Linked DNA regions of Schizosaccharomyces pombe. Changing the gene in region 2 together with the main gene of any one other region gives a genetic interaction. Each region holds a gene or a part of one and is shown on either strand. Other genes may lie near its edges. The genes, in order: rga8, rga7, rho2 and rho1.

Region 1 (6,225 bases), on a different chromosome or scaffold from region 2:
GTGATGCTTCTAACTAAAAAAGTTTTATGGTACTTTAGACATGGAATTGAATATCAAATTCGTAGCATTGCTTGCAAAAAAGGATACTCTGAGCATAACGTTTCAAGAGTACTTATTGAAAAAGCCCGATCGCTTTCTTCAGAGTATCTTCAATTCCATCAAGTAAATAATAAAGTAAGTGTCGGCAAACAAAGTGTGAAATCAGCCTGCTACTGTTCGAGATACAATAATAATGGTAATACAAGCATACCGGACATTAAGCTTTACTCATGAAAAATTAAAATCTGATATAAATGATCTAACTTATATCTTTTAGGATCAATCGGCAATGACAAACGATACAGATTTAGCAAAGCGAATCGCTAGGCTTCGACGCGTTCATAATGCATATTCGAAATTTAAAAGTTTGTCTGAGGTATGATATAAGACGAATTTGTCTCAAACTTGTAGTCAAAAGCTTTCCTTTTTTTTATTACTCTTCCTATTTATAGTAATCGATTTACAATGGTTTTTTTTTGCTAATGGGTCTATAACTTAAGACTTTTGCCAGGCATTTACTGTTTATCTAAGTAAAGCTATTTGATGAGCATGTTGAAATACTTAAATAACTAGTTTTTGAAAACCTTGATTTAAAAAAATTCTAACAATTTAGCAAATAAGCGATTTGAAACAAATGGAGGCCCAAGAGTCAGATGCAGAGGTTAAAATGATGGCAGTGACTGAAATAAACGAAATAAGTAATAAAATACCAAAAAGCATAGAAGATCTTGAAAACACATTACTTCCACAAGCTGATTCATATGCTCTTCCTGCATTAATCGAAATTCGTCCTGGTGTAGGAGGAACAGAGGCCGCAATATTTGCAAATGAACTAGTGGAAATGTATTTTCAGTATGCAAATTTTAAAGGATGGAATTGCAAATTTATATCAAAAAGTGCAGTCCAAGGACTTGAAGCGATAACGGAGGCCATCTTCTCTATTGAAGGTGAGGGAGCTTATGGTCATCTTATGTTGGAAGGAGGTGTTCATAGGGTTCAGAGGACTCCTGCTACCGAAACTAAAGGAAGAGTTCATACGAGTACTGCATCAGTAATCGTTTTACCTCAGGTGTCAAATGATGAATCCTCTTCTCTTTACGATTCATCTGAAGTTAAAATCGAAGTAATGAGATCTCGTGGAGCCGGTGGACAACACGTTAATAGAACAGAATCCGCCGTACGTTTAACACACATACCCACTGGTATCACTGTTAGCATGCAAGATTCTCGTTCTCAGCATCAAAACAAAGAAAAGGCATTTCTTGTACTGAATTCAAGATTGGCTGCCTTAAATGCCGCAAAAGAAAATGAGGCTGAAAGACTGAAACGTAAAAATCAAGTAACGTCTTCAGATCGTTCGGAAAAGCTACGAACTTATAACTTCAACCAAAATCGAGTAACTGATCATCGGATAGGTTTAAGCATGCACGATTTATCAACATTTATGCAAGGTGAAGAAAAATTTGACGAGTTTTTGGAAAAAATAAGAATATGGAATCGTGAACAGTTGCTATTACACTCTGAAATAGTATAGGAATGCTAATTTAGTCTAGTAAAATAGGAAGGTACAATAATATATGGTGGTCAAACTTCTATAGAGAAAAATGTTTATTAGGTATATGCAATGAATAATGAGAAAAGAATGTGCAACATGTCATGCAAATAAGATATCCATAACTGATCTTTAAAAAAGATCATAGGTTAACTCATAATAACATATTTTTAACTACCACTTAAACTGGAATCTCTTGAGGCGACTGCTTCGTTCACTATCTTTGCATCCTGATCAATAAAGATTGCGGCACTTTCATTGGAAGCAGAAGAATGGCTGAAATTACGTCTTGTCTTTCTAGTATTCAAGGCATACGACGATCTGATCAATGAGGTGGGCACATTTTCAAGAGTAAATTCAGATTCAGCGGGAATTTCTGAAGGTTGCAGCTCCTCAAACGAAGATCTTGGAGATTCGACAGCAGTATGAGATCGGACAGAAGAAATGGAGTCTGGTCTAGTTGGTGATACATCTGTACTCCGAGGAGTAGCAGAAGATTGATATAATACACGGTCAGAAACACGTTTGGATGAATTCAATTTTCTGAGTTCTTCAAAAATACTTGGTCCGTAAGTTAAAAGATCCTCCATGAACTTCGTTGGGTGCTTATCATGTTGAATACCCAAATTCCATGTTGCTGGACGGGAAATGCATAAAGATAAGGAGTTAGCTAAATTTATAGTAAAAGTTTCTTTATTTGGAGTAAGCGTAATCAAGCGATTTAGATGAGTAATGATGGCACTCAAAGTAGCAAGATTAACACGTCGAAGTTGGGATAAAAGATTTTGTAAAAGTCTCAACCTGTACGGCGTATCATTACTATGATTCATGTAAATTGAACGAATAAGCTCAAAAGCAGAAGAAGGAACGATGGAATCAGGGAGTTCAAGAAAGTATAGCTTCAAAACTCCTATCACAACGGAGGGAGTATACTGTGATAAAACCTCCTTTGTCACGGATGAAGAATGATTCAACGCTTCTCGAAGTTGATGTACAGAAGACAAGGGAGAATTAACAAGCCATATATTTTGACGAACTTCATCAGAGGCAAGCGTAGGATATAACAGATCTAAATAAGAAAGGATCGTACTAACGATTATGGGAACACGTTTCTTATCTCTATGAGACAAAAACTCAACGTCCACTCCAAAAATCTGATCTTTAATATCATTATAATAATCCTCATATATTTCGACACGAGGTAAAAATGGACCAGTAGCTGCAGACTCTAAAATATACCTAATGTCACTCTCAGGTTGAATTATTTCCTGATAAACAACAATCTGATCAGCCAGCAATTTCATGGAAGGCAAAAAGTTCGAAATAATTGTTGATAAATCCATAAAAAAATCTTTATAATAAAGAACGCGATCGGTTTCACATTTTTGAAGAAATTGCAAATGATCAGCAATAGTTTCTTCCACAAGTGTGCGGCATTTATCAAGATCAACGACTGATTCGCTGTAAATTTTATTTGCATCCAGAACTTCTCTTTTAAGACGTTGAGATTGAGTTTCTGAAGAGTAAAGCTTTCGATGACTTATATAATCAGAAAGATATTCACCAACTAATGGTAAAGCCTTGGCGTTTTCGACAAGACTATCTACACTATTCAGTCCTGCAAACTGGAAAGCCTTGTCTTTCCACTGATAATGGAAGTTGGTACTATTCACAAAACTACCTCCAACGCCCATATGACGCAAAAATCCTTGAGCTATCAAATCTTGTCCAAATGCCTCGGCTGCAACTAAAGTTGGAACAGGAAGATTTTCCTGAAGCCAAGAAACAATAATATTTCCTGAACATGTATTAGGGTAAGTACCTAAGATAGGGACGCGATAATCCTGTAAGGGTATTTCTTGTAATACTTGAGCCAAAACCTCTTTTAACTCCTCAGGCCTAAACTCCATAAAACCAAGTTGAATCAGATCATCATCATTTTCCAACAATGATTGCTGCTGTGGACTAGAAACTGTTGTTAAGTCAGTAATAGCCTCACTAGTAGTTTCATTGGACTCCTTTGATTCTTCTTCATAATCTTCAAGGTTTCTACATTTGTTGTAGTAAGCGCTTTTTGTTTTTTTAAGTGTATAGTATTTCTTTTCATAACTCTTTATTTGATTGGTAAGAACTTGTTGGCTGGTTTGTAACTTCTGAGAATGATCAATAGACATTTTAGAGAAAGGAGCAATAATTAGCGTTTCTAAGTCCTTGGCAATACGAATATGTTGCTTTCCTTGATTAGCAATCTCGGAGCGCAACCCTTCAAAAGCCTTGTTAGAAGTAGCACCGTCTTCTGTATTCTCTGGCTTTTTCCCTTTTAGACATTCTTTCGTTATTTCTTGAAGCTTTTCACCAAATTCCTCATTCGCTTCTTTATATAACTTCAACAAGTTTTTTACTATTCGTTGTTAGAGGAAGTCCTATATTAATTTATTTAAATACCTTGCTCATTCTCTTCAACTCCATTATCCAGGCAATCGAAAAGTTTTTTCACACCAGTCGCGTAGTCTTTACTCCAAAAACCATTTGAAAAGCTCGATATCATTTCAATTCGAGACTGAAACTGTCACAACCTGTCAAGAAATATAGAGGTGGTTGACATGTCTACGCCCTTTATTACTCAACTTAAGTAAATAGCGAATTGCTACGCAGAAAAGTTTTACCCATCAAGGATGCCAAAAGTATCCAGTAAATAAGACAACAGATACGTTACTTGACACACATAAGATAGCATACCACTAATCCTTTATAAAATGTAAACTTCATTCAGTTGAATAGCAGCCTACGCTTTTACCCACTTTGTATTATTAATGCTATGGTTGGATCGATGGTACAATTAAAAACTACAAAATTTTAATTAATAGCTTACTGAGAAACCTTGCGTTTGCACGATGAGGTTTTGAAAAGAGAGAGTAGCGTACTTTATTGTTATAATGCCTACATGAAAACGAAAGAGAGCGTCCCGACGTTATTAAAACTATAATATCGTAAAAATGTATCACTAATGATGACAGGGTAGTTTTCATATCGATTTAGTGCGAGGATAAGGAAGTTTGAAATTGCATAATACATTCTTTTGACATTTGAAATGCTACCAAATAGTCATTTAAAACGCTAAAATATTTACAATTTCATAAAACAATAAAGCACTTAAAATTTAAAATGTCTAGCAAATTTCATGGTTATTCGTTACTCGTCAGATAAAACAAAAACGTTTAACACGGGCATGAAAAGAGAAAGGCGGAACCAAAGTTAGAAACCAATACCATAAGCGTATTGCAAATGCATTCAAATTAGGGGAAATTCCCTTAATTACGACGCTTCCAAGCAATTTTAACAGGACCCAAGGGAAGAGCAACCATACTGGAATAGTCAACGTTGGGAACTTTTCCAATAAGAGTCCAGGTGTAATCGTGTACAAACTTGCTAATAATAGTGCTCAAATGCATGTAGGCAAATTGCTCACCAATGCAACGATGACGACCAGCTCCAAAGGGTAGGTATGGAGAAGCAGCACCCTTTGTAACGAGACCATAACCATAATCAATTTGCTCAGCATTTTCGTCTTCATTGACGCGGTCATTCCAGCGCTTGGGGTCAAAGTCAGTAGCATGAGTGAAGTATTCCTCTTCAGTAGCAGTTAAACCGGGAGCAGCAAGAAGATAGTTGTTGGCAGGGATAACAATCTTTGAACCAGGGACGGGTAAGTCACGTTTGACTTTACGCATATGACTGTGGATAGGGGGATGGAGTCTAAGAGTTTCTTGAATAACATAGTTGAGAAGAGGCATGTCCTTATATTGGTCAAACTTCAATTCCAAGTTTTCACCTACAACACGCTTCTGCTCTTCCCACAACATTTCAATGATTTCAGGTTTGCTACCCAAAAGAGCAAGAACCCAAACGATAGTGGCAGCAGAGGTGTGTTGACCAGCCATCAAAAGTGCAATCATCATACCAGCAATTTCATGTTCCTTCAAAGGACGGCCATCTCTATACTTGCAGCTCATCAAAGTCCAAATCATATCAGTACCAGGATTTTCAGTGCTAGAGCGACGATCTTTAATAATTTTAAGATAAGTTTTTTGCATAATTTTGTGGGCTCTATCACGGCGTCTGTTTCTAGGGAGAGGTAACCAAGGGAAAACAAAGTTAACAGGGCTAAATCCTTGATCAAGGTCATGGTACAAGTCAGCGAAACCAGCGTCAAAGCCCTTGCGAACCTCAGCACCTTGTAAAGTACGAGAAGCAGTGTAAATAGTCATGACAGGCATGGTCTTCAGCAAATCAGCAACGCCTTCCTTACCAGGTCCGAAGTCAGGAGAAGTGCTGAGAAAAGCATCCATTTCGTTAAGAATGAGGGGGACATAAGAGCGGAATTGAGAGAAGCCAAGACCAGATTTGATAAACTTCTTGTGCTCCATAAAAACATGGTTGGGAATATCGTAAACGACATCTTTACCGAATACAGGGGTAGTTAAATGAGAGTAAGCTTCTTCAGCATTCAAATCAGCTAATTTACCGTTAAAGAGGAAATCATTACCTTGGACACCAAGGAAAGCGGTCATTTTACGACCCATGCAAACAAAGGTGAAAACATCACCATATTTGGCACGACACTCGCGAAAAAA
Region 2 (5,048 bases):
AGTAAAAAAAAAAAGAATAATAAGCAATTATACCTTTAATCACTTTATCTGACAATTCTACATCGGTAAGATCACTATAAATGCTTTTTATGTAATTATTTAACAAATCGGACAGCGTGTCTGGACTCTGGATGATTGAAGCGTTTGTGTCTTGTAGTTCTAACAATTTAGCTCTTTTCCTTTCCTTTTGTTTTTGGCGTTGTTTTTTTCTTTTTTCACGTTTCGCTGAATCGTTGTTTTGAGAAGCAGTAAAATTTTCAGTTATTGTAGTAGGTTGTGCAGATTCTTCATCCGAAACTGAAATTTCTGAAACTAAATCTACCTGATAATCAAGTTGATCATCCAAAGCATCAGCGTCTGTTGTCGTGTAGCTCATAATTGCATGTTTTAAAATTTTGGTGTTAGGGATACGTTCAGTTCGTGGACCGTCGAATAGTACAGGAAAAATGTAAAAAAAAATATAAATCTATCGTTTACAAAAATATAGAGTATTTGAAGGTCTATATAGAAGAAAAAAAAATAAAAGGAATTCATTTGGTTTATAAAATCGTAGATAATTTCCATTATTACGTTATGAAGGTTGTCTAAACTATGGATTAAAATTGTGAACGGAATTGACAGTAAAGAAAAGAATGAATTTGTAGACAAACAAAAGTTTAGGATAAAAACAAGGTAAGGAAAGGGATAAAAAGGGGAAAGAGGTGGAAGCATACAAAATCCAAGAAAGAGAGAATAGTGTCAAGTGTGCTTTATTGACGCAAAGGAAAAAAATATAAAAAGAGAAAAAAAAGATGGTAAGCAGTAAATAATACAGAAAATGATCTTTTAATCGTAGTCAAAAATTGTGAAACAATAGTCGATAAGAATTTCGATAGTTCTAGAGAAACTGCTAATTTCTGGGATAGTAGCTTGCTTAATGATAGTAGGTCCCCAAATAATGGCCAAATTGTTTGTCGACATTTTGTTTACATCGCTGTTTTCTTTAATTTTAGCAAGATGTATGGTTAAATGACGAATGGTAGAGTAGTTGGCATCGGGAAGATCGTTGATCGCACGATGGACGGCATCTCTTCTTCTGGATTCGTCTTCAACGTTACCTGCGTCGATAAAGTCTCTTTGATGATTGTCGGGAATTAACGGTTCACGTAGTTCACGGAAAAAGATTTTTAGTAGATCAGCGACTGCATGAACGTCGTTTTCATAGTCCTCAGGTGTATGTAATTGTAAGAGAGGATTATTCTCAAATTGAGAACGTAACATGTTGACACGGGCGGAAGAGCTGGGAACACGGTAGATGCCCTGGAGGTTGAGACCAAAATTTTCGACTTGGGAAGTGCATTGCATTACGATGTTTGGAATGTTGGAATGTTCTCGTAGAATGATTGCGTCTAATCGAGCACCAAAGAGTAACGATTTCGTAGGAGAGGAAGGTTGAGGGGAGACAGAAGTTGGTCGGAAGGGAGATGCAGCACGGTTTGAGTTGATGCTAGAAGGCGGTGGTGCGACTTCTCGAGACGTTTGAATCGTTGTCGTCTGGATGGGAGGTAAAGTAGGAAGTAGTACGGGAGGTGATTGTTGGGCAACAGGGGGCTTGTTTTCTGCATTAGAAGCGAGTGGAGAAGAGGTACGAGGATTGGAAGAAGAGGATGAAGAAGAACCGTTTGTGTCATTGGCGGTACTAGGTTTTAGGGTAGAAGCCAAAGGAGAGGCTGAAGCGGGAGCAGTAGAGGGATTGGAAGTAGATGAGTTTGGGAAGGCAGGGGAAGCCACAGAAGGGTTGGGAAAAGTGGATGGAGCAGGATTAGTGTTTTGTAGGGGAGAGGGAATAGCAGCAGTAACCTTGATGGTGGGGTTGACGGGTGGATTGGTTTTTCCGGCAGAGGAACCAGTTCCGTAAGAGCTTGGAGGTTGAATGATTTTTGTTTTAGAAGCGTCGGTTGGATTTTTGTTATCTTCATGCTTGATGGAGGCGTGAAGGACGTATTGAACAAAATCGGTATTTGCATTTATATTATCCAAAGCATGTTGTAAACCACAGTTGGTAGGAGTGGGCTTTTGTGGACGGATTGTGAGACCGTTGAGCAGGGTGTTTGACTCGCAGAGCTTTGTGTACCGTAGATAGTTTGCAATGAGTGAGCTTTCAATTTCGCGTTGAAGGGAAAAGAATTGCTTTATGTAGTTTGGTCGGTGAATACACAAAAGTTGTTTTTGAACGTTTTGAGCGTTTTCAATCTTACTGTGCATATCTGATTCTGCATTTTCGGCCTTAAGGCGAGCTTCATCTTCGAGTTTGGTGAGCTGAGCATTAGATTTTGGTTTAAAAAAACCAACCTTCTTCTGGGAGTCTCCAGTGTTTTTGTTGTCGAGAGCGCGGTTGTACTCGGTTTCGGCACCCTTAAAGCGAGATTTGGATTTATCCATTTGCATAACGGCTTCTAAATATGCGTTTTCTTGTTTTTTCGCATATTCCTTGATGGATTTTCGTTTGCGTTCTGCGTTTTTGTGAAATTCGATGACTTGATCGGAAAATGCAGAAAGAGTTTTTTGAAGGGTTAAACTGTGATTGGCAAGTTGTTCATGAATTTCCATACTCGTAATGACAGAGGCGGAAAAAGATTGGGGAGAGTGGTGTTTGGATTGAAACGTCTCTAGGTAGGATTTAGCAAGTTTTTGTAAATTTTTTCCACTTTCTTCTTCGAGAATGGAACGCTTTTTAAAGAATCCGGCGAGTTCTTTGCAAGTGAGGAGGTAGTCTTTAATGCGATCATTTAGGATTGCTAGACCAAGTTCCGAATTGAGGATCGCTTCGACTTTTGGTTCTTTGAGAACTGCGAAATCATCAGAGGAAGTGGTATTTGGAGGCGATGTTGGTGGGGAAGCGGGAGTGGTAGAGGAGGAGGGAGCCGACAGCATTGAAGGAGTTGAGTGATGGGCGGGAGCAAGAGAAGTAAATAGAGTGAGAGAATAGAAAGAGTAAAAATAACAAAAGAAGCGCGGTAAACGCGAAAATATATAAAATCACTTGAGCAAGCAAAGAATGATAGAGGAAAGAAGGGTGAATTCTTTGTTTGTAAGGAATTGGTAGTGGGTGGTTGGTTTGAGTAGTATAGCGAGTATAGAGGATGTAAACGAGGAAAGGGTAAGGAGAGGACGGTAGAGGAAGAGATAAAGAGGATTAAGGAGGTATGAGTAGTTCAAATTACGGAGATGTAACGAAGCTAAAAGTTTGGAATTGGGAGGTTGAGTGTGGGGGATGAAAATGAGTTTAAGATAGGAAGGTAAAGGAAAAGAATAAAATACAAATTGCGTTGTATAACGTTTCTGCCATACCCTTTTTAAGTGGGATGAAGTATAGTGAGGGAGGGTTGAAAAGGAAGGAAGAGTTGACTGTGGTATTCGAGGTAAGTGTCATACCCTTTCCAAGTGGGAGGTAGAGATACGTGGGGGTAAAGACTGAGGTGAGTAGGAAGGCGGTAAGGGGAAGAAGGGTATAAGGAGAAAGAGTTGATTGTGTTATTTAAGGAAAAGTGTCATACCCTTTCTAAGTGGGGGATAGCAAAATAAGGAGACAGAAAGTTGGTTGCGTTATTCGAGTAAAATGCCATACCCTTTCCAAATGGGGGAGAGGATTAGGTGAATGAAAAGAACAAATAAGTAGGATTATTCTATTGCAAGTTGTTTGTAATACTTTTTTTGTCATGAACGAATATGTAAAAACAATAATAAATCCTTAGAGCCTACTGTTAATATAATAACATTATGTTTATTCTATGACTACAGGTTTGTCAACATGTTTTATTGCGACTGTTTAATTTTTGTATTTGTTATACCGATATATTTTTAATCAGTATTATATTTTCTTAAATAACTTAATAACGAACTTGACAATGAAACGTTCCTAATTCTCATTAGACGGGAATTCTTTAGGGGACCCCACATTAAGTGGGATGAGTGCTTGCTTTGTTGTAGTAGCTATGGTAACTATTTCTTTGTTTGGGTAGGAACAAAGAAAGAGAAAGGAGAGAAAATAGTGGGTTAGCCGTGAAAGGAAAAGAGAGTGAGAAGAAGGGTAGGAAAAGAAGAGAGAGTAGTTGAAGGAAAAATATTGGAAGAGGTAGTATTTTTCTGTATGCATATGCATATGCATTTGTATAGCATACAACCTTTAATTTAATAGCCATACAACCTAATAGCCAGAAACGCCTTCCCAATTTACTGAACCCTGCTTATATGTAGTTTATAATTGTTGTGTCTTTTTTTTACGTTTAAGTTGTAATTTGATGTTAGAATTTATTACAATGGATGCAAGTTTTAACTCAATTTGATCACATAGGATTTGAATTGTAAAAAGGTCTTCTGCTGACATTATTAGTATGTATTGTGCTTTAGATTAAATTATTGTGTTTTAGTGTATTTTGTTCCTTTGTTTTTGGGTTTCTTTGTTCTGTAAGTAGTTAAATACCCTCCACACTCTACACCTACCTTGCACTCACAACTACAATGGACTCACACCAAGAATTATCAGCGGGTTCCCCTATTTCCTACGACTTTTTAGATCCAGACTGGTGTTTTAAAAGATACCTTACAAAGGATGCTCTTCATTCAATTGAAACTGGCAAAGGTGCTGCTTACTTTGTTCCTGATGGCTTTACTCCTATACTCATTCCTAACTCACAAAGCTACCTGTTGGATGGGAATTCTGCACAACTGCCAAGACCTCAACCAATATCCTTCACATTGGATCAATGTAAAGTTCCCGGCTATATTTTGAAGAGTTTACGGAAAGACACTACGTCTACTGAACGTACTCCGAGACCCCCTAATGCTTTTATATTATACAGGAAGGAAAAACATGCTACATTATTAAAGTCTAACCCTTCCATCAATAATTCACAAGTTTCCAAGCTGGTTGGAGAGATGTGGAGAAACGAATCAAAGGAAGTACGTATGCGATATTTTAAGATGTCTGAGTTTTATAAAGCACAACATCAGAAAATGTACCCTGGTTATAAGTACCAGCCTAGAAAGAATAAAGTTAAAAGATAATA
Region 3 (4,084 bases), on a different chromosome or scaffold from region 2:
TATCCTTTGTCTGTGATGTATTTGAGTATGAATTTATCTCTCTTTATTGGCGATTTCCTTTCTTACGATCAAGAATGAAAGGAATGTGTAATTTTTAGTGTAGTTCCGGATTTTTGCCGCGTATTTGTCATTCTTTATCATTTGGATGGATTTTGGTTGTTTTTTTTTGGTTGTTGTTCTTAATGAAGTGAACGCCCGAAGAAAAGTTAGTTGTTGGAGTATGGGTGTTTAAAGGGTATATAATTTCACATAGTTGTTTGATGAGAGTGACCACTTTAACTCTTGCCAGTCTTGATTTCCAACCCATTAATGCCCAGAAAAAAATAGGCTCGAAACTTTAGTAGGTGATAAATTTTGATATGGTTGTATACCTTTGGCGGTGTCTTAATATTTAGCTTAAATGAGCCAGAATTTTGAATTTGACCGCCCCATAAAATTACTTAGCGAAGTGAGCCTACGTATTAAATGTATCAATAAGGAAAACTGACATTTTCTATTAGCCTAAGAGAACAAAAGCATATGTACATATATGAATTTTGTACTTCATAATGAGCGCAAGCGGCAGTTCTAAAAATAAAGTCCTATGATCTTTTAAACAAAAAGTAGTTTTCATGAGGACAATAGATGCTGAAAAAGAATGAAAGATGTTTAAGAGTAAAAAAAAAAGGTAATAATAACTGAATGCGGTTTGCTTAATGAAATGAAAAAGGAGGCTAGTGTCGTTCGACCGATGCGTGAAGATTATAATGATGAAAATAATAATAATACTCCTGAGTCTCAAAATAAAATAGGAACTAAATTTGAGGTATAGGGGAGAAAAAGAAAAAAGTAAACGACAGAAGTGAAAGTGAAAACGAAATGAAACAACGGCAAAGAACAAATGCGAAGAAAAGCAAAAAAGTCTATCAGCTTTTTGTAAATGTAGGTCGCATAAACTGATAGGCTTTCCTATAAACTGAAACATGAATGTTTGCAATCGTTAGGATATTAGTAATTATGAAATGATGCAGCATTTTGTAGAACTCTTGTCATTTTCCGAATCCCGAACTGTTAGTGCTGCCCTAGTAGCAGCTTCAAATACATCGTCCACGCCGTCACCAGTCAATGAAGAACATTCCATATACTTTCTCGCACCAATCCGCTGAGCTACTAATTCAGCCTGATATCAAGAATTAGTATTCACGTGTTTGAATTATTAATATATACCTGTTGTGATTTTACAAAATTTTGATTTCGACGTCGCATTTCTTCAATAGCAACGGGATCTGACCTTAAGTCGGCTTTCATGCCCACTAAAATAAACGGAACATTTGGGCAAAGTGTATTAATTTCCTCAATCCACTATATAATGTTAATGACTGGAAAAAACAATTAATGAAACGAACCTTCGTAGAAACATTTTCAAGTGAATCAGGAGAGTCTATCGCAAACCCAACCAAAATAATGTGTGCTTTAGCGTAAGACATTGGTCTTAATCTCTGCATTGGGTTAACGACGTATTTCTCACTATTAATAACGAAACAAACCTCATATTCCTCTTGACCTCTAAAACAAGAATTAGTATGCAGGAATACATAACATATAGTTTTAACATCAGAAAAAAAAGTACTTACGCGGTATCCCACAATGCCAGTTGAACTGATTTTCCATCAACCTATTTTAGTTAGTATCAAATGTATTAGCAAAACCCAAAGAAAAGGGACCAGTGGGAAAGTAACTTTCTGTAACCAACTGAAAAAGCTCAATAACTTGTTAATCACACATACTCGACAATCTGAAACATAGTTTTCAAACACAGTCGGAACCTATAGTAACTGTTATTAAAAAACTCTACGAAATAAAGAGAAAAAAGCATTACATATTCCTATCGCCAGTAAGTTAGTAAATAAATAAATAAATAAGGTAGAAAAGACAATAAGTATTTGCGTATCGTGCAATATGCGATAAGCCAAAGCTCACTTTTATGACATCTGTACTTACAGTAGGAAAATATCCCAAAGTGAAAACGGATAACAAAGACGTCTTCCCGCAGGCACCATCGCCTACAACTACTAGTTTCCTTAAAAATATTAATATTTAAAGAAAATGAATTTGAGTAGAAGAAATAAAAGAAGCAAAAAGATATTAGGCCATAGAATCGTACCTTCTAATCGGTTGAGATTGCAACATGTACTTTTTAATAGGGAGCGGATTAAACACTGTATGAGGTTTTTTCTATGCAAATTTTTCTTAAAGAATGATTCACTGCAGATCAGACAACCAAAATTTCCCGGTTCGAAAAGCTGTAAAAATTAAACCAAATAGGTGTGAATTTTTGAAATATAAGAAATGAGTAAGCGATTGTCGAAATAGTCAAATGAAGCGATTAGCCAAACGTCCAAGCCTTTCAATTAGAGCAACGAAAAGTAGTATATGCACAAAAATTAGCTTCTCAAAGAGTATTTGTTCAAGAAATGTGGTTTTGGTGACATTTATCCCATGCGGATTATAGACACTTTTGGTGTTAAGTATCGTAAATTCAATTTATTGGAATCGTACGCTTCCTTATTGCACCTTAACATGCCTTAAAGAACTAATTTTGCACGTTAAGATGCATTAAATATGATAAAACGCCATTTGCCGTTTGGCTTTATTCACCACATTCTGCAAAGCAGCAATTGAACTAGTTAAATCCAAAAATCTTTGTGATTTGGATCATCTGGGTTGAAATCCCTAAGAAGATATACTATTTCAAGTACTTTGGGGTATACTGTTTTTGAATATTGAACTAAGAAAAGGTGGGCAGTTCGGCATTTAAGAATTTTAGGGATTACCCTTAAAACATTGCCAACGCAGACCCGTGAGCTACAATTTGAATAAAAAAAATAATTTAAATTATTTTTTTTTTAAATCGTTAGTTTCATATTTTAAGCTCATAAAAAAAGAGGCGTTGTTGGTAGGCGATTTTTAAAAAGAAAACATGAATGATAAAGCTCTTCGCACCGAAGCACTCAGTGTAGGGTTAGAACCTCCAAGTTTCAAGGATCTTCTTATACCTATTCCCAACTCTGGTACAAAGAAAAAGAATAAAAAGAAGAAAAAACCGAAAGCCAAGAAAAATGTCGAGACTCAAGCAAACGTGGATTTGCTTGGGTCGGCAGGGACCGATTCTGCAGTTACAGACGTTGGCGCGAATAATGGTGTCATAGATCATCAAGCGTCTTTGGAACTTTCAAATTTGAATTCTCGTATTTCTCATCCGCAGCTGGTCTCGGCAAATGGTGATGATTCATCGTTGATTAACGTCGAAGGAATATCTTCGACGGATTGGCAATTCACTCTTGAATCTGACGATACCATAGAACATTCTCCCCAATGTATTCTTTCTACCTCCAGTTTCGTGGATGAAGCCGAGTTTCCAGTTCATATACCTGGTTTGGAAGACGCGACGTCGTCCAATATGTCACCGAACTCCGTTCAAAATAATATGAATTTGAATACAGTAGCGTTAGGTTCGTCAACTTCATCTAAACGGAAAAAGAAAAAGAAGAAGAAGTCAAAAGCAAATAGTGCATCGTTGAATGTGGATGATCAAAGAGATTTTGAACAAGTTTATTCTACGGACGTTGCTATTACTTATAGGAATGGGCAAGCGCTTTCTTATTACAACGGTTCTGTGCGTCAAGCCAGTATGAATAATAACGTTAACAATAATAAATCCAAAGATATTTGGAGCAGTTCGAATACTGAGGAGCGGGAGCAAATTCGGGAATTTTGGCTTTCCTTAAGTGAAAGTGAACGCAGGTCGTTAGTTAAAGTCGAAAAAGAAGCTGTTTTGCAAAAAATGAAAGAGCAACAAAAATACTCATGCTCTTGTTCGGTGTGTGGAAGGAAACGTTTAGCAATTGAGGAAGAGTTGGAAGTACTGTATGATGCTTACTATGAAGAATTAGAACAATATGCTAATATTCAACGTAACCTTGCAAATACCGAGTCTGTAAACGCTTCAGACGAAGGTTCAGACAAGTCCCAGAAAGGAATCATCTCCGATTCACCTAAGCTTTTATCGATTCCTCTGAACAACGTACCATCAAAATCTCTCAAT
Region 4 (4,237 bases), on a different chromosome or scaffold from region 2:
TGATAAAGTATTGTTTCCTTGATTTATAAATTGTAAAGCTAAGTTGAGTTAGCTTTTTTGTTAAGACCTCTCAACTTTTAGATTTAAGATTTTGATTCCCATTTCTGTTGTAATATGTAACCTTACTAATGCTTTACATTAAAGCATGAAGATTTCGACTCTGCATTTTACTTATAAGCACTATAAAAGGTACACATAGAGATAGACAAACAGCTTTTAGTAGCTACAAAAACTTTGTTCTTTTCCCTTTAATTCACTATTTGCTCCCTCGCAATTATCCTTTTTTTTAGGTAAAGTCAACAATGCTTATATCTTCATCTGATAATCTTGCCTGTAGACAGAGTGAAAATCAAATGGTAATACAAATGCATAGATAGAATAACAACGGTCACCTTCAAAACATGAAATTGCAAACATTGGTATGCTTGACGTAAAGAGAATGAGATATAAACAGTGTGCAAATTTCCGCAAAATACAAAATGTTTAAACCATCAACTACGGCTATCTGCTACTTCGACTATCAACGTGTATAAAAATACCAAGCGCCTGTATACCAGCAAGGTTATCAACAGAGATAATGTCGCTTCAATTTTCTACAATAATTCTAGTGCAAAATTGGAGACCCAGCTAAAGTTCCACGATAATAAGCAATTACGTGCTGTGAGAAAGCTTATAAAATATTCGGGTTTTGATCGAGTTTCAATCGAGGTGTATATTCTTTAAATTACCGATTTATAAAAATTTACCAAGTCCTTTGACTAGGTAGAAAGGATAATAATGATGGCAATCCTTAACAAAAGAAACAAGGTATTATAGGAAAAATAAAACCATGCAATAACAAGGCAATAAGGGAAATTTTCTTCAAACTAATAGCGAAGAGTATAGCAAAGTAAGCAAAGACTGAAAACAAGACGCATACTCCTTGCAGGTGCCTATACGTTGCAGAACAGTGAGGGGAAATGGTAGAACAGCTATATGAAATGCGCTTAAATCATTGCCAAGCTGACTAAATGGCACGACTTGAGGTAAGTAAAAAGGAAAGAATGAGAGGATATAATGACTATGTAACATGATAGGCCACACAATGCAAAACTCCCACCAAGGTGAAGGTGAAATAAAAATCAACATAAGTCGAAAAAATACGGAAACTTGTTGAATGTGCTTCGACTGAAGAGATGTATAAAAACAGAAAAGATAAATTCTCTAAGTTAAAAAATTTGGAAACAAGCTGTTTACAACAAGATACAACGCTTCTTCTTCTTAGTTCCACTAGAGGGCTTCACTTTGGGCTTGTGTTTGAGCATAGCAGCACGAGTGGCTGATTCAAAAACCTCACGAACACCTTCATTCGTCTTGGCAGAACACTCAAGGTATTTGTAAGCACCAATCTTCTGAGCTACTGCTTGACCTTCTTCTGTGGTGACGGGATGCTGATTAGTCTTGGATAACTCCTCAATAATTTTTGGGTCGTTACGGAGATCAGCCTTGCAAGCGACAAGCAAAATAGGAAGACTGGAACAGAAATGGAGAACCTCGGAAATCCATTTTTCTTGAACATTGTCAAGAGAATCGGGAGAATCAACAGCAAAGCAAATAAGGATAACATGTGAGTCAGGATATGACAAGGGACGTAGACGGTCGTAATCTTCTTGTCCAGCCGTATCCCAAAGAGCCAACTCAACGTGGCGTCCATCAACCTCAACATCAGCTACATAATTTTCAAAAACAGTGGGAACATAGACCTCGGGAAAGGTTCCTTTAGAAAATACACTATAAAGAAAAATGTTAGAAGTTGTATAACAATGACACAGACTCGTGAAACATTGCAGATAAGCAAGCAAAGAGTAAGTAGAAATACAGGGTACGGAGTGCAAATTAAATCCTCGGAACATTTATTAAATGTAATCTAAACCCCATCTAAGTCTCATTTCTATGGGGATTCTTTCATTATTTTCTTGAGGCAATGAACATGCTTACGGAAATAATTTTCTTCTCCAGCCATGCTAAGCAAGAGATGTAAACCCTTGCCAATTTAAAACAGGCCCAAGCAACTACTTTACCCTTCTACTACCTTTCCGACGCTTGCACCATTTTTACTTACATTAATAAGCATGTTTTACCACATGCACCATCTCCCACAATAACGAGCTTTCTGCGAAGTTCTGTCGCCATCCCTAGATTTGTTTACTTTCTCCTGCTCTAGACAGAAAAATTTCGACGTAAATAAACGTTTTTCGACTCAAATTCTGACACCGCTCTTTCCTTCGATGTGGCAGTGGTTAGCTATTTACTAGGCTGTCAGCGGCTCATGTAACAACGAAAGGAAAGAAGGAGACGCTACTACACTTCACTAAATCTCGTTACTTTGCCCTAGCGCTCTTATAGATGAACCCTTTGAGTATGTATGGACGAGGCTGAGCCTGTACAGAGTGTAAAGTGCAATTAAAACAGTTTTATTACAAAAAGATTGTCTCCACTCCGACTTGATGTCAACAGACGTTTTTTTGTTTGAATCACAAACGCCAAAAAAAGCAGAAACCAGCGGAAAAATTTCGTTAACGTATTCAGTTTAGTCATAATATTCGAAGATAACGGAACGCATTTAATCCGCTTATCCTATTTTAACGTACACACTTTATTTCAGTATTTTATAAATAATAAACATAGCAGGAATATAGAAACTTTTGGAAGAGACATAAAGAAGCAAAGCTTCGTATAAATAGCTATAATTATAATTGTATACTCATAAAATTAAACAGCATTCTATTTGTAAAATGCAAATGTGAGATGAATTCCTAAATTCAAAAAGCGGCAATTTTTGGTGCCGAAAAATAATTTTACATGTCAGATTGAAGTAATAAAGCAATATTACGATGCTCTTTCTTTCTATCGTCGTTTTGTTTGCTCTCTTATTTCTCGAGATCAATAAAATCCTACTTTAATTTTACTAAAATTATATCGCCCAAAAAAATATTGATCCGGTAGCAGATCTACAAATATACAAAAATGAAATGTAACTTTAGCCTCTTTTATTCTTCTTCATAGTTAAAATAAAACAGACGGTTTCAGTAGATCTATAACTTAGCTCTTAACTCACTACTTTGTCTCTTTTAACTTTTGCCATTGATTCATTTCAGTACTGGAGAACATAAGACCAATATATTAAACAGTTTGAACAGCGCGCCCTATAGATTTCCCACAAATTGAAAGAGAAAAAAGTCCTGAGTCGTTATTATTGAACATCTATCAAATTGGATACCGTATTATTGATCGCTGACATTTCATTTTGTAGTTGACAAGAAAAGAAAAAGCGGGTTGAGTAAACTTTACCTTTTAGTGCTTTAATCTTGTTTATAAAGTGAAAGTGGTTGAAAGCTGTGTGGCCTCTTAATTATACACATATATATTTACGCGGTTACTTTTTTTTTATAGTTTATAAATTAAACTGATAGCTTTCGATGATGCCATCATCAAGTTTCCAACAAACTCCCAAACCCGTCGATTTAGACGATCCAAGGTTTGAACAGTACGATTGCTTGCCATGCCGCTTGGTGGGCGCAGGCGCTTTCACAGGTCTAGGAATATATGCCTATTCGCAATCTAGAATTCCTTTGAATACACCCAATTACAAGCTTAAACGATTCGGTATTTTGGGAATGGCTTATGGATTTATTCTTACCGGTGTCTATAGATTGTTTCAATAAAATGTTAATAAACGTCGTTTTCTATTATCAGTTATCTTAAGACGTGAAGAAGTAACTTGAATCAGAAGTAAATGTTTTTTACTAAATTGCATTTTAATCAAACGGGTGAAGTTTTTTTGCTTTCTGATGCACATCCAACAAATATGCTTAAATGGTAACTAAACCTATACACTATAACAATTATGGAATAAAAGAAAAGAAGCAGAAATGAAGGGAAAATTCTGAAATATAATTAAAAAAAGAACCATAAATAAAAAAAAGGATGCGAATACACTAAATAGTTGACTTTTGTCTAAAAATAAGATTTAGACATTGATTGCTTATTGAACCTCCTCGTCGAGTTCATTGTAAGAATGCTTGTGTGAATTGTTTTAAAGGTCTTTTACCCCAAACTTTGTAGAAAATTATAGTTTAAAAAAATCTCAGAGACAACAATTGTATAATAATGAAAGAATGTGTAAGGTAGATGGAATGTAATATATATGTAATACGACACAACATTTTCCATCCACGTTTAACGAAAAGCATTGTTA

The links.
Region 1: mutations in rga7 (region 2) and rga8 are lethal when combined (synthetic lethality), as found in Schizosaccharomyces pombe (one study listed by BioGRID).
Region 3: of rga7 (region 2) and rho2, changing one suppresses a phenotype caused by changing the other (phenotypic suppression), as found in Schizosaccharomyces pombe (one study listed by BioGRID).
Region 4: mutations in rga7 (region 2) and rho1 are lethal when combined (synthetic lethality), as found in Schizosaccharomyces pombe (one study listed by BioGRID).

What each region holds. Positions count from the first base shown.
Region 1 is NC_003424.3:570,233-576,457, forward strand, and holds rga8 (putatiRho-type GTPase-activating protein Rga8), read right to left. Parts: upstream 4,192-6,225; 5' UTR 4,140-4,191; coding exon 4,037-4,139; intron 3,993-4,036; coding exon 1,762-3,992; 3' UTR 1,574-1,761; coding exon of another isoform or gene 653-1,573; 3' UTR 521-652; downstream 1-520. Other genes in the region: mrf1 (peptide chain release factor), read left to right, coding at 4-174, 317-415, 653-1,573; erg11 (sterol 14-demethylase), read right to left, coding at 4,903-6,225. UniProt on the Schizosaccharomyces pombe protein: Acts in signal transduction. Negatively regulates the pak1/shk1 control pathway.
Region 2 is NC_003423.3:2,109,982-2,115,029, forward strand, and holds rga7 (Rho-type GTPase-activating protein Rga7), read right to left. Parts: upstream 3,095-5,048; 5' UTR 2,914-3,094; coding exon 826-2,913; 3' UTR 504-825; downstream 1-503. Other genes in the region: cms1 (U3-containing 90S preribosome complex subunit), read right to left, coding at 34-376; mat1-Mi (M-specific transcription factor Mi), read right to left, coding at 4,238-4,366; mat1-Mc (M-specific transcription factor Mc), read left to right, coding at 4,501-5,046.
Region 3 is NC_003424.3:4,421,087-4,425,170, reverse strand, and holds rho2 (Rho family GTPase Rho2), read right to left. Parts: upstream 2,481-4,084; 5' UTR 2,170-2,480; coding exon 2,144-2,169; intron 2,060-2,143; coding exon 1,981-2,059; intron 1,865-1,980; coding exon 1,859-1,864; intron 1,806-1,858; coding exon 1,767-1,805; intron 1,655-1,766; coding exon 1,614-1,654; intron 1,546-1,613; coding exon 1,527-1,545; exon of another isoform or gene 1,479-1,526; coding exon 1,386-1,478; exon of another isoform or gene 1,342-1,385; coding exon 1,207-1,341; exon of another isoform or gene 1,160-1,206; coding exon 995-1,159; 3' UTR 525-994; downstream 1-524. Other genes in the region: protein nst1, read left to right, coding at 2,960-4,084. UniProt on the Schizosaccharomyces pombe protein: Involved in cell morphogenesis, the maintenance of growth direction, control of polarity and of cell wall integrity. Regulates the synthesis of alpha-D-glucan through activation of pck2.
Region 4 is NC_003424.3:4,222,115-4,226,351, reverse strand, and holds rho1 (Rho family GTPase Rho1), read right to left. Parts: upstream 2,282-4,237; 5' UTR 2,173-2,281; coding exon 2,102-2,172; exon of another isoform or gene 2,030-2,101; intron 1,867-2,029; exon of another isoform or gene 1,771-1,866; coding exon 1,233-1,770; 3' UTR 528-1,232; downstream 1-527. Other genes in the region: protein tam6, read left to right, coding at 3,459-3,704; plasma membrane TRP-like calcium ion channel Pkd2, read right to left, coding at 4,219-4,237. UniProt on the Schizosaccharomyces pombe protein: Involved in the regulation of cell wall growth and actin cytoskeleton organization. Activates (1,3)-beta-D-glucan synthase.